Canis lupus familiaris: one gene and its partners. The protein of the gene in region 1 interacts with the protein of each later gene in a pairwise test. Links are inferred from orthologs where the notes say so. Each region holds a gene or a part of one and is shown on either strand. Other genes may lie near its edges.

Evidence for each region. The genes of interacting proteins can lie anywhere in the genome.
Region 2: the proteins of MAPK3 (region 1) and DHPS interact in binary tests that used the Homo sapiens proteins (3 or more experiments, as listed by UniProt). The link is inferred for Canis lupus familiaris from reciprocal best matches to the Homo sapiens genes MAPK3 and DHPS.
Region 3: the proteins of MAPK3 (region 1) and DCC interact in a two-hybrid assay, tested with the Homo sapiens proteins (2 studies listed by BioGRID). The link is inferred for Canis lupus familiaris from reciprocal best matches to the Homo sapiens genes MAPK3 and DCC.

Annotation. Positions count from the first base shown.
Region 1 is NC_049227.1:18,278,803-18,283,014, forward strand, and holds the start of MAPK3 (mitogen-activated protein kinase 3), read right to left. Parts: upstream 2,801-4,212; 5' UTR 2,787-2,800; coding exon 2,614-2,786; intron 1,600-2,613; coding exon 1,417-1,599; intron 1-1,416.
Region 2 is NC_049241.1:49,833,041-49,837,291, reverse strand, and holds the start of DHPS (deoxyhypusine synthase), read right to left. Parts: upstream 2,801-4,251; coding exon 2,594-2,800; exon of another isoform or gene 2,552-2,593; intron 2,494-2,551; exon of another isoform or gene 2,381-2,493; coding exon of another isoform or gene 2,341-2,380; intron 2,255-2,340; exon of another isoform or gene 2,120-2,254; intron 1,985-2,119; coding exon 1,820-1,984; intron 1,585-1,819; coding exon 1,463-1,584; intron 1,380-1,462; coding exon 1,283-1,379; intron 1,208-1,282; coding exon 1,121-1,207; intron 733-1,120; coding exon 627-732; intron 548-626; coding exon 444-547; coding exon of another isoform or gene 426-443; intron 1-425. UniProt on the Homo sapiens protein: Catalyzes the NAD-dependent oxidative cleavage of spermidine and the subsequent transfer of the butylamine moiety of spermidine to the epsilon-amino group of a critical lysine residue of the eIF-5A precursor protein to form the intermediate deoxyhypusine residue.
Region 3 is NC_049222.1:22,991,098-22,995,114, forward strand, and holds the start of DCC (netrin receptor DCC), read right to left. Parts: upstream 2,801-4,017; 5' UTR 2,757-2,800; coding exon 2,666-2,756; intron 1-2,665. UniProt on the Homo sapiens protein: Receptor for netrin required for axon guidance. Mediates axon attraction of neuronal growth cones in the developing nervous system upon ligand binding. Its association with UNC5 proteins may trigger signaling for axon repulsion.

The DNA of each region.
Region 1 (4,212 bases):
AAGACTCAGTGAGGTGACCCATGGAAACCAGCCGGCCCAGTCCAGAGCCTAGCATGTTGTAAGTGCTCAGCAAACATGAACTAGTGTTGCTATGATAAATGCCTAAGCCACATGGCTGTTGAGAGGGTTAAATGAGATAGTGTGAACACCATCTGGCATGCAATAAATGTTTGCTTAAAAATAAATGCCTGCCTTATGGGGAATGGTTTGGGCAAGACAAATGAGGAGAAACTCCCAACAGCATGCTCCTCCTCAAAGAGTGCCTGGCCATACATCAGAAGATGGAAGAGTAAATGTCCTTTGGTATTTTAAGAGAAAACAAAGATTAAACATACGTTAAGTAAATAAATAAATAAATAAATAAATGCCATTTGGTTGCTCTCTGAAAGAATAAGTCAGGGCTGTCTTTTAGAATCAGCCTTGAAAGAGCCTTCTGAAGACACCTGGGCCGATTATGCTGTTTGAGAGGTGAGGAGGCCCAGCAAGATGCAGTGACTTGCTTAAGGTCACACAGCAAGCTAGTGGCGAGTGTGGAGATTTCCTGCCCACAGCTTGTGGTGGGGGCTGCAGACAGTGCAGCACAAATCCCCACATTTGGGTGGAGAACTGGGACTGGCTGGGGGTGGGTAGGGTGGGGAGAGGTGATGGGTGCTATAAGCTGCTAACAACAGGGCCTGACAGGAAGTGGACGACAAGCTAGGGAAGCAATGTGGGGGGGGGAGGGCAACAAAGACAAGGCTGTCCCTCCCTGGGCGAAGTGCAAGTCCACAGGTGACTGGGGTGAGGCTCTGAGCAGGAAATGTCAGAGAAAGGACAGTTCTCATCTGGGGGAGGTTAGGAGGCAGCAACAGCAGCACCTGATTTGGGGCTTTCTGAGCCTCAGTTTTCTCATCTTTGAAATGGAGCTGATGAGACCCATCTCATACAGCAGCTGGGAGGTAGAATAAGAAGTGTCAAAGCATTTGGCGTGCACTGCACCTCACTCATAGTAGGCCCTTCAGAACGGGCAGTTTTCTTCCTTCCTGCCTTCCTTCCAGTCTGCAGACCCAGAGAGGAAAGAATCATCATCTGTTAAACAAGAACTGTCTGTGGGCAGAGGCTGGGTCACGTCACAGAAATGCAGATGTCAAAAGACAAAGCTCCCATAGAGCCCAACTCTCACCCTCCCCCCAAATGAGGCACAGCATGGAGCACAGACTTGCCCAAGGCCACACAGCCTGGTTACAGCAGGCCAGGATTCACCTCAGGCCTCCCAGTCCTCTTACACTCTGTGGTCTCTTTTCTGCTGGAAAGTTTCATTTGCTGGGTTTGTTTTGGAGTGTGGCAGGAAAGAAGGAAACAGAAAGAAAGCCAACGTTCTCCCAGCCCGGCTCTGAGGCTATGCCTAGCCAGCCATCTGGCCAAGGTGAAGGATACACATCCCTCATGGCGTCCAGGGTGGGCGCCCGCAGAATGTCCCGAATGCCAATGACGTTCTCATGGCGGAAGCGCAGCAAGATCTGGATCTCCCTCAGTGTGCGCTGGCAGTAGGTCTGATGCTCAAAGGGGCTGATTTTCTTGATGGCCACGCGAACCTTGCGCACGTGGTCGTAAGCTGAGCTGAGAGGGTCAGAGAGATGTTGTTGGTGTGGCCTTACATAGGGGGAGTCCAGGCCTGGTGGCCCTACCCAGGCCTGAGCAGGGAGGGGAGGGAGCATGAGAGGACTCTGGCCAAGTCATAAACAATGCTGGTTCCTTCCTGCTGTGAAGGCCTGGGATCTCCAGGGAGAAAGCTGGGGACCAGCCAGGCAGCCCTTCGGTGACTTCACAAACAGAGGAAGAGACTGACCGTTCACTGACTTCCCCTCTCCTCAGCCCTGTCCATTCTAGTTGCCCTGACCTCTCATCCTCCCCTCTCCAGGCTGGGCTCCTTCAACCCAAGACAGGTCCAGGGAGTGGGAGGTGAGTGCAGGACGCACAGTGAGGCACAGTGAGAAGGAGGCGGTCAGGAGGGATGGGAAAGAAGGGATGAGGTGTTAGGGTCAGGCACCTGGGCAGGAGAGCTGTTCCCAGATGAACAAAGGCCCAGAGCACACAGTGGGGACGAGAGAGCTAACAGACCCCTTCTAAAAGTTGCAAGAACGCACCCCTGGACCCCTCATGGGTCACCGGGCTCCTGGCCCCAGGCCCAAAGCCCTGCCCCACCCTGCCCAGCCCTGAGCTCTGCTCTCCCCAGCTCCTTGGCAGGCCTCACTGGGAGAATCCAAGGCATCCTTTCCCCAGAGTAGGGTCCTTCACTCGGTCCTCACTGATATCACCTCCCCAAGAATACTTCGTGTCTCCGCCTCCTCCCGCGTCCACAGAGTCCCCAGGGTCCCCCCACGGCTCCCCCGCGGACACTCCGATGCCCCTCCCTTCACTACAGAATGGTCGCTCCTGAGGCCTCCCAAGCCCCCTCCCCTTAGAACGTAGGCGGCGCCGCTCCCCCAGAGCACCCCAGGGCCGCGCCGTGGGACGCCCCGCCGGCCTCGTGAAGCCCCCGCCTCCTCGGGACCCTGGGAGCGCCCCGGCCCGAGGGCACTCACCCTCGCGCGCGCCCCCCCACGAGCCCCCTCCTCCGGAACGCCCCCTCACCTGACCATGCCGTACGCGCCCTCGCCGATGTAGTGCAGCTCCGTGTAGCGCGGGCCCACGTCGAACGGCTGCCCCTTCACCACCTCCACCTCCCCCGAGACCCCCGGGCCGACCCCATCGGCTCCCCGGGGCTCCCCGCCCCCGCCCCCCTGAGCCGCCGCCGCCGCCGCCATCTCCACTCCTCCCCTCCCGCCTCCCCGCCTCCCCCCGGCGGCCCCGCCCGAGGCCCCGCCCCTTCCCGCCCGCCCCGCGCCCCGCGCCCCGCGCCCCGCCGCCGGCTGAGCCGCGTGCGCCAGGCCCCGCCCCCGCGCGCCCCCGCGCGCCCCCGCGCGCCCCACGTGACCCCCGCGCGCTCCCGGGCGCCCTCGGCTGCTGCCCGGGTCCCCGGTGCCCGGCCGCTCCGTCTGCTGCTGGCAGCCCGTAGGGACGAGCGCGGCGGCCGGGAGACGGTGCACCCCTCCCGCCGAATGCAGGCTATAGCCGGCAGGGCCGCCAGGTGACCTTCCCGGAGCCACCCAGCAAGCGGGTGCGGGAGCTGGGGCCGGGACCGAGTCGCCTGGCCCCGCCAGCTCTGCTGCCAACCGAGTCGCGGCCCGGGGCTCGAGATGGAGCCCCAAGGGGGCCCTCCCCAGCCCTCTGGAGTGTGGCCTCCGAGCGAGGCTCGGCCCGACGACACACGGCCGCATCCGCATTTCCCAGTAGCGTGGGAGATGGCTTCTTCGCAGATACGGCCTGCCTTTCACAGATGAGGGGCCGAGGCTGGTGACTTGGAGCCACCGAGAACCCGCAGGTCCAGACTCAGCCTAATGGGTTTCTGACAGGCCTGCGAGAGTGGACTAGGGGCTTGGCCTCTTGCCAGCGACAGTACAGTGCTGGAAGTGAGCACCCATAACCTCAGCCCATTTAGGTGGAACTGCAACAGAAGGGCGGGAAAGCTGCCTGCAGTGTTGACCAGGTTTGGTTAAAATACACTATCAGGCTTCTCTCAAAAAACAGCAAAATAGGTGACGATTTTGTTGTCATTGGACTTGGTGAAACTGGAATCCTGGCAGGATCACCATCTTTTGATGGGATGCAAGATTTTGTAGTTTACACCATACTTGGACCAGCTGGGTTTCTTCCATAGGACAACCGCACATTATAGGTGTCCTCCGATTTTCTTAACAGGATGAGCAGGGGCCATGTCTGTCTTGCTCATTACTGTATCCTCCCCTGTACCTGACGCTCAGACGTTCAAAGATTTTTGACTGGATAAATCAAATTGTATGGATGGGGAGTTGAGACTTAAAATGATATCTTTTGACACAGAGGCAGAGGCTCTTTTCAATTCCATTCAATCTCCCAGAATCAGAGCCTGTTAAAACCCAGGAAAGGGCCCTCCGAGGCCATCCAGTCCATTCCCCTCACTTCACAGAGAAGCTGTGAGCTGGACGCTTCACAAAACACATCTCCTAGCCTTCAGTAAGTAACCACGTTGGGTTTTGTTTGTTTGTTTGTTTTATAATCCCTTAGAAGCTAAGAGTAGATCCTTATGTGCATTACAGATCAAGAGACCAAATGGAACAGTAATTATGATTCTGAAATTGCTCATAATTAGAT
Region 2 (4,251 bases), on another chromosome or scaffold:
TATAGAGGCCAGGGTGCACCTATAAGCACCCAACTGGCAGCCCTAGAGGCCAGGCTCCTGCTGCTAATTGTCTCGGTCCCCTTCACTGGCCTGCTAACTGTCCCTTGATTTAATTCAGGCACCTCAGAGCCTTTGCACTGGCTGTTTTCTGTTTACAGGCTGTCTTTCCCAGAACTTCCCTTTTCTGAACAGCACTCCTTTCTTTTTCTCTTGCACTTGTCATCCCTCATTTTTTTTCCCACAGCAGCTAACTGCCCCGTGACATGCACATCACTTGCTTGCCACCTATCTCCCTGACTAGAACATCAGTCCAGGAGGACAGGGATCCTGGCCTATCTAGTCTACAGTTGTTGCCCTGGCACATGGCGTAGGCTTAGCACAGGTCTGTATGGCAAGCCCGAGTGCCACCCTCACTAGGAACCGGCTACTGTGTCCCCACTCACCATGAGGTTGGCATTGGCGATGTGGTGCTTGACCACACCCCCGCCCAGGATGATCATCCCAGTGCGCTTGGCAAAGATGGCCTGTGTGTTGATGAGTCGCAGGTCTGGGAGAAGAGCATTGTGGTCAGGCAGTGGACACAGCCACCCTACCTCCCCTGCTCCTCTGTGGCCCTAGCACCTCACCCTCAACAATGTCCAGGACCAGGCCTGGGTTCTTGTAGGAATGGAAGAAGATCATGTCGCCCAAGGAGCCATCTGTGAGCGCTGGGCTCAACACGGGGATGTGGTTCTAGGGAACAGCAAGATGAGAGCAACAAGCTCAGAGCCCAGCAGAGGCAGACTGGCCCCCATCCCAGTGGCATCCCCTCCTCTCTGCCTGATTCTAGGCAGGATGCTTACTAAGTTCTCTAGGCCTTAGCTTCTTCAACTGTAAAATGGAGACTGCAACAGCATCTCCATCACAGATGAAGCATATGTGATGAAACCAGACAAAACCAGTGGAGAATGGTAGCTCTCATTACTCCCACTGCTGGACCGCAGCGTCAGACAAACTAACATCTGTGTTGGCTTCCTCACCTAAGAGTGGAGATGATGAAATGGTTCTCCAGGTGGCTATGAAGGTGAAACAAGCTAACATGTGCCAAGGCCTGGTACCCTTGCCCTACCTAGTCCCTCACCTTCTGGGCCCAGTAATACACTGATTCTGGGTTGTTGATCTCCTTGCCCAGTCGGGCAATCATCTTGGAAGGTGTCCACTTCACACCCTAGGAGGAGACATTGACTTCAGCCAGCAGGGCCGCCTCAGTTCCACACCGACCCCCAGGGTGCTCCTGCCCCACCTCTGTGTTCTGCTCCAGCACCATTTGGTCCAGAATGGGCATCAACCAGTCCTCAAACTTGCAGTAATTGTCATTGGGCACCAGTAGGTTTCCAATCCTGCGGAACATGAGGCATGTGGGCATCGGGCCCCAGGATCCTCAGCCCAGCTCCCTTGCCCAGCATCACTCAGGGCCCCGAACCTGTTGATCCCGTTCTCACGTAGCTCCTTCCCCCTGAGACTGAAATCGCCCAGGTACGTGGGTGCCAGGCACTTGATAAAATCTTCCTCCACACCGCCAGCTGTGGTCACTAAGACGTCCACCTGCAGCCACAAATCAGGTTGGCCCAGGAAGAGGGGCCCTGCCGTCATGCCAGGTAGGGCTCCTCATTCCCAACACTAATCCAGTGACCCTTGGGAAAATCTCTACTGCAAAATAAAAGTAGATCCTGTTCCTCCGCTTAAAACAATCCTGTCTCCCTGTCATTTAAGTGGCCAATAATTTTTATTGCCCATAAGACCTAGAGAGGCCAAGTCCACAACCCCGCCAGGTACCCACCATGTTGTGCTGCACGAGGTAACGGATGGTCTCACGGATGCCTGAACTGATGAGATTGGATGTGTAGCCCAGAAAAATGGTGCAGCCAGTAAGTGGGCGGCGGCTCTGGGTCAGGTCTGCATGCTGGTCTTCATCCTGCGACAGCGGCTCTAGTTTCTTCTCTATCTAGGTGTAAGGGCAGAGTCAAGTTACCCTCTGGCCCCAAACTCTAGCCCGAGGGCTCCAAGTGGGTTTCAGGATCAGACTCCAGCCCCGGGGCCTGCCCACTCAGGAATAAGGAAACACTTCTACTTGGAATACCTGAAGCCAAGGAACGAACGCCCCCTGCGCAGGCTCGGCCCCATTCACCGCCCAAATCTCAAGGCACGCGCTCAGGTTTTATTCCCCTTTCAAGGAACTGGAGAGCACTACCTCTGCAGGCCTGGTCACTTTCCCCTTTGGAAAAAGCAAATCTGAGCCCAGACCCCGCCCTGACTGAGGCTCCTCCTCAACCGCACCGTTCAGAACACTTCACTCCTTACCTACAACCCGCCTCCTATCTAGCATCAGTCCCAACCTCATCCTGATGGTAGGATGCTATGGAGATGGGGAGGCACAAGGTCCTCTCCCCAGCACGGAAACCGCTGCCCAGAATGGACCCTGCCTCTCTCCACCTATTGGGCCGCCCGACAAAGGGCACGCCTCCTTCTCAAGGGAGCCCCGCCCCCCAGTACCGCATTGCCGCTACTGGAGGCCACACCCCCTCAACCCAGGAAGTTCCGCCCCAGGCTTCACCATGGCGTTGACTTGCTGCACTGCGCGCCCGAAGTTGGTGGCCTGGAAGCCAGTGGTGCCGAAGGCCTCCAGTAGCGCACGGTAGTCCACGCCGCGGCTGAAGTCGTAGCCTCGGACTTGGGAGCTCTCGGAGGGCAGCGCCGAGCTATGCTTCAGCACAGCGGCCAGCGCCGCCGCGGGTGCCTTCCCTTCCGGAAGACCCTCCATGCTCCCGCGGCCGCACTCTCAGATCACAGCCGCCCAGACCAGGCCTCCAGCGGCCTCGAAACGCACTAAGCCCCGGCACGCGCTTCTATATGACAGTGCAGGAAGTAGGGCTCTGGAAAACCTGCAGAAGGGGACGGGAAGTTGCTCAGTCACGTGACTCTTTGAGCCCCACAATCCAGGGCGCGGCCATGTTTGCGCATGCGTTTCCGTAATATGGAAGCCGCGAGGAGCCGTTATTGCCTGTTTCGCGTCTTGTCAGCCCGAGATGAATGAAGAGTCCTGCTTTCACTGCCGCCTGCTGGAGACCCACCGCGTTGCGCGGCGCTTTCCCATTCGTTTCTGTCCCTTTGGGAAGGAGGATGGCTTCTTAGACGTCGCCCTAGGACAGGATTCGAGTCATCAGGAAATGTCAGATAATTTCTGGCCCTGAGCGTCTCTCATCAAATGGTGTAGTGATCGCTGTCCGTACCAGAGCCTCCACATGCTGCGTAACCCTCTGGTCTTCCCCTGGTAGTTGCGGCCGTCACTTCTGGGAAGCCTTCCCTGACCGTCCTCTGGGTAAGGGACCTCCTCTGGGATCCAGGGCTGACCTCTCTTTCCCTCCAGCAAGACTGTGAGACCCTCGAAGGTGAGGTCTGTATCTCATGGGTCCTCCTAGCCCTGCATAGGGTTTGGTCCAGGGGGAATCTTTTAACCAGGCACTTTATAATTTATGGAGTCTATACCATACGTTGGGCTCTGTGTTTGGCGACTCAGATTTATCAGTGAACAAGATGCAGACCCTGCCCTCCTGGAGTCCATAGTTTGATTGGGGAGCTAGTAAAGCTAACCACAATAGTGATTAGTGCTATTGAGGATTCAAACATGATGTGTTTTTGAGGTAGGGGTGGTTGAAGGGGTTGATGGCCTTATTTGCAGGGACAGGTGGTTAGGGAAGGACACCAAGGAGGTGACATTTGAGCCAAGGCCAGAAAGCCAAGAAAGGCCCCATATGTGCAGATTTGGGGAGGCCTTTCCCCCACCATCCCCCAATGGGAAAGAGAACTGCCAGTGCAAAAGTCCTGAGGTCAGAGATTAGCCCACTTAACTGGAGGAAGAGAACATCCTCCCTGACATTTTTGACAGTCCCCACTTGGATCTCAAACTCACCACCTCAGCTCCCACTCCACTTAACGCTGATCTCCCTGCAGTCTTCCACATCTCATCAAAAAGCCCTCAACTCAGCAAATAAGCCCTCCATGCACCTAGTAGACCCAACACTGGAGAACTGAGCTTGACCTCTCTCCTTTGTTCTCACCCATCCCTCAGCACCTCCGCCAAGTTCTGCCCACAAAATAGGTCCCAATTCCAGGTGCCTTTTTATTATTATTGAGATAAAATTAACATATTCTATTAGTTTTAGATGTACAACATTCTGATTGGGTATTTGTATCCAGATGCTTCTCTCCATT
Region 3 (4,017 bases), on another chromosome or scaffold:
TCCCCAAATCTCTTGTCAAGGTTCCCATTTCTGAGAAAACCAGTCTACAGGCCCCCAAATACCCTCTACGCCAGGAGAGGCTTTCAGCAGAGCTTCACTGAGGAATTTAGGGAAGATTAAAGCTCTCATCTTCAATGAAAACAACAGGGAAGTTTGCTGGAGGTTAACTTGCCAGAGAATAAATGCAAGTGCTGCGCACTGAGTTCTAGACCCCCCGCCCCCCCAAAAGGTGCCCATCAGCAGCTCAAGGCAGCCCAGCTTGCAGGAGCTGTAAAGCACGTGCCCTGGGCCCAACACTCACCCAGAACACACGTGGTGGCCGGTCCACGGGCTTCCTAGGTCGCAGGGGAACTGCTGCTGCTGTGACAGGTCGCGGGTGAGGGGTGCTGGCCCAGCCCCAGGGGACTGGACACCGGGCCACCCTGCTCCCCGCAATGGAAGTCCCAGGGGGGCATCTGCTCTGCTGGGGCTCAGGGGTGAGGAGGGGTGGGGCTGGGGGCAGCGAGGCCTCATCGGACTAAGTCCAAACCACACAAACCCCCATATGGGTTTTTTGGTCCAGAGAATGTGACCCAGACAGGCACACCTTAAACTAACCCGCACTCGGTAACGGCCAGCATCCAGAAGTTTCCTCTCCCCCGAGATCCCCACACTCTACTTGGAGCTTGCGGCTCCCCTGGAATCCACCTAAGGCCACCTGAAGGCCACCACCGTCCTCCAGCACCTAGTGCTCGCCCCTAGGTGCCCTCTTGTGGGTCACAGGCCTCATCAACCGTGCAGCAGGGTGGGGCTTGGCCCGGGAGGCGGGAGGCACCCGGCGCCCGTGCTAGGGCCCAGGCTAGGGCCGCAGTGCCCGAGGTGCTGCGCGGGGACGGGCCGGCCAGGCAGGTGGCGCCCGGGGGTGACCCCACCCGAGAAGCCACCAGGCAGGGAAGCGGGGGGGCCTGAGTCAGCGCCCAGCCCCGGAGCAGCCCCGGGGAAAGGGGGGTCCCCCGCAGCCGCCCAGGGCGCCCCTGCCAAGGCCGCTGGCTCCCCAAGACGAAGCCAAAGTGAAGCCGGGACAGCGCGGCGGCCCCGCCCTGCGAGTGCGGAAACTTGGGTAAATGGAACTTGGAGCTCAGCACCCCGCAGCCGCCCCAGGCCGCGGTCACCCCGCTACGGCTCCGCGGCACTTGGGCGTCCCCACGACCCGCGCCGTCCAGTTGCTCCCCAAGGACCCGCGTCTCCCTCCCCGGGCGCCGCGCCCCTGCCCCGCCTCTGGGTCCCCGCCTGGAGGGAGCCTCAGGGTGCGCGGGGCCCTGCGCACCTTCAGGGGGAGGAGGAGGGAGGGGGAGAGGGACAGGGAGGGGAGAGGGGCAGGGAGGGAGGGGGGAGAGGGAAGGAGAGAGGGGGAGAGGAGGAGAGGAGGGGGAGAGGGAGGGAGAGAGAGACAGGGAGGGAGGGAGGGAGGGAGGGAGGGAGGGAGGGAGGAGGAGGGGGGAGGGACAGGGAGGGACCTGGAGGGGGGGAGAGAGGGGGAGAGGGGGAGAGGGAGGGAGGGCGAGGGGGGAGAGGGACAGGGAGGGACCTGGAGAGGGAGGGAGGGGGAGAGAGGGAGAGAGGGGGAGGGAGGGGGAGGGGGCCGGGCTGCCTGTCGCGCAGATGCGGCTGGAGGCGCGTCCACACACTCGCGGCTCCCGCTGGCGCGCCGGGTCCGGCCACACCACAGGCGGGCGCACACACGCGCACACACGCGCACACACGCGCACATGGACACACACATGCACACACGCACATGCACTGACACACGCGCACACGCAGCCCTCCCTGTCGGGCTCTGCCGCTCCGCCGGCCACAGGAGGCCGAGAGTCCCGTCGGCGTGGAGCCCGGACTGGGGGCCCCGCGCTGCCCGAGCCCCGCGCCCCGAGAGGCGCTTCTTCGGCGGCTTCGGGGGTCGGGGCCGGGGGTCGGGGTCCGCGGTCCGCAGCCCGGGCCGGCGCGGTCCGCGCGGTGCACCCACGGCCCCCGAGCCCGCGCCCGGCCCCAGGCGCTCTCCGGGGGGACGCGCGGGGCCTCGCCGCTCTCCCCGCGCCCCGCGCCCCGCGCCCCGCGCCCCGGGGGTGGCGCCCTGACCCCTGCGCTGCCCCTCCCGGCCGGGAGACCCGGATCGCGCCCCGGGGCCGGCGCGTGTGTCCAGCAGCTGCGCCGCCGAGCGTCAGGGCCCCCGGAGTTTGCAAGTATCCCGGGGACGCGGGGGCGCTCCGCTCGGTGCCCGGCGCCGCGGCGACCAGACCCCGGCACAGGACCCGCCTGCCCCCGGCCCCGGCCCCCGGCCCCCGAGCCCCGGCCCCCCGGCCCCGCCGCCGGGCGCAGACAGCAGCCGCACGCGCGCCGGAGCCCGCGGACCACCGGCCGCCCCCGCCCCGGGCTTCCCCGGAGCGCCCCGACGCCGCCCCCCCGCCCGCTCCCCCGGCCGCCGCTCCCCTCCGTGGCTCCGGGCTCCGGGGCGCAGCCGGGTCCCCGCAGCCGCAGCCGCAGCCCCGCCGCCCGCCCGCAGCGCCGCGCACCAACTCCGCGCCCCGCGCCCCGCGCCCCGCGCCCGGCCCCGGGGACGCCGAGTCCTCCGGCCGCTCAGCAGCCGCGGGCGCGGGGCCGGGCGCGGGGAGAAGAAAGGAAGGACCCTTACCGGCGGCTCGCGGGGGCGCGCTGAGCAGGGTCGCGGCGAGGAGCACAAAAGCCAGCCCGGGGGCCCGGACGCGGCCGGCGCTCGTCTCCATGCTTCAGCCACAGCTTCGGGGCCGAGGTCCGGGGCCGCGGCGGCGCTCACACTCATGCACCCGGCCCCGCGCGCACACATGCACACTCGCGCCGAGCCCCTCGGCCGCCGCCGCCTCCTCCTCCTCCTCCTCCTCCTCCTCCTCCTCCTCCTCCTCCTCCACCGCCCCTGCGCCTCCTCTGCCTCCTCGCGCGTCCGCCCGCAGGCTCAGCAGCCGGAGCGCGCAGCCAAAAGTTGCATCCGGTGCCGAGGCGCCGAGCTCGGTGCAGCCTCGGAAAGTCCCTGGGGAGCCGGCGCGGGGCTGCGGGTCCGGGGGTGTGCGCGGGGGCGAGGCCGCCCGGTCCGCCGCGAAGTTTCCGGGGAAGGACCGGCCCGGGCGCCCCCGAGAGCCCGGGCCCGAGCGCCGAGAGGCGGGTGGCTCACTGGCCGCGGGGCCGCCGAGCCCGAGGAGCGCGGGGCTGCCGGGGAGGCGGGGCCGGGGGGGGCGCGGCCCGCAGCTGCCGCGCGCGCGGGTGTCGGCGAGCAGGGATGCCCTCTGTGGGCCGCGCGCGGGAAGGGAAGCACCTGCGGCCGCCCAGCCCCGGGGCCCCAGCGCCCGCCGCCCCCGCGGAGCCCGTGCTGCGCCCGGGAGGCCCGGCAGGTGCAGGGGGGCCCGGGGGGTGCAGGGGGCCCGGGGTCCTGGGGGGCCCTGCGCCCTCCTCTGCCCGCCCGCCTTCCGCGCAAGAGAATCCTTCCAGCTGCAAAGAATCCCCAACCCCAGCTCCCCATCCCCGGGACACGGGGGGAAACTGAGGCTCCGGAGCACGCAGACGGGGCCCGGCCACGACCGCTGGGGCCTCCCGGGTCTCCCCGACCCTCGCCCGTGGGCTCGGCTGGGCGCCCCCCAAGCTCCCTGGAGGCCCCTGTCCCCCAGGGCTGTCGGTCCCCTTGGAAGAGGGACAGAAACAGGTAATTGCAAGAGCCCTACGATGGGCCACCTGACCGGGCGGGGGTGCCCTCCCCGGAAATGGTTTCAAGCCCACGGCCTTGGCGCATCTGCGCTCCCTTGCAGGGCCTCAAGCCCGTGGCTCCCTCACCACGAGTGTGCAATGCCACACACCACACTCGCTCACGGGCTTTTGCTGAATAAGTGAACTTACAAATGAATGAATTCGCTGAGGAAGGATGAGGAGAGAAACGCATCCCCGGTAAAGCTCAGCTACAGGTTCTCCCCAGTCCCAGGTCTCCCCAGGACTCCTGAGGACCCCCACATCTCCCAAAAG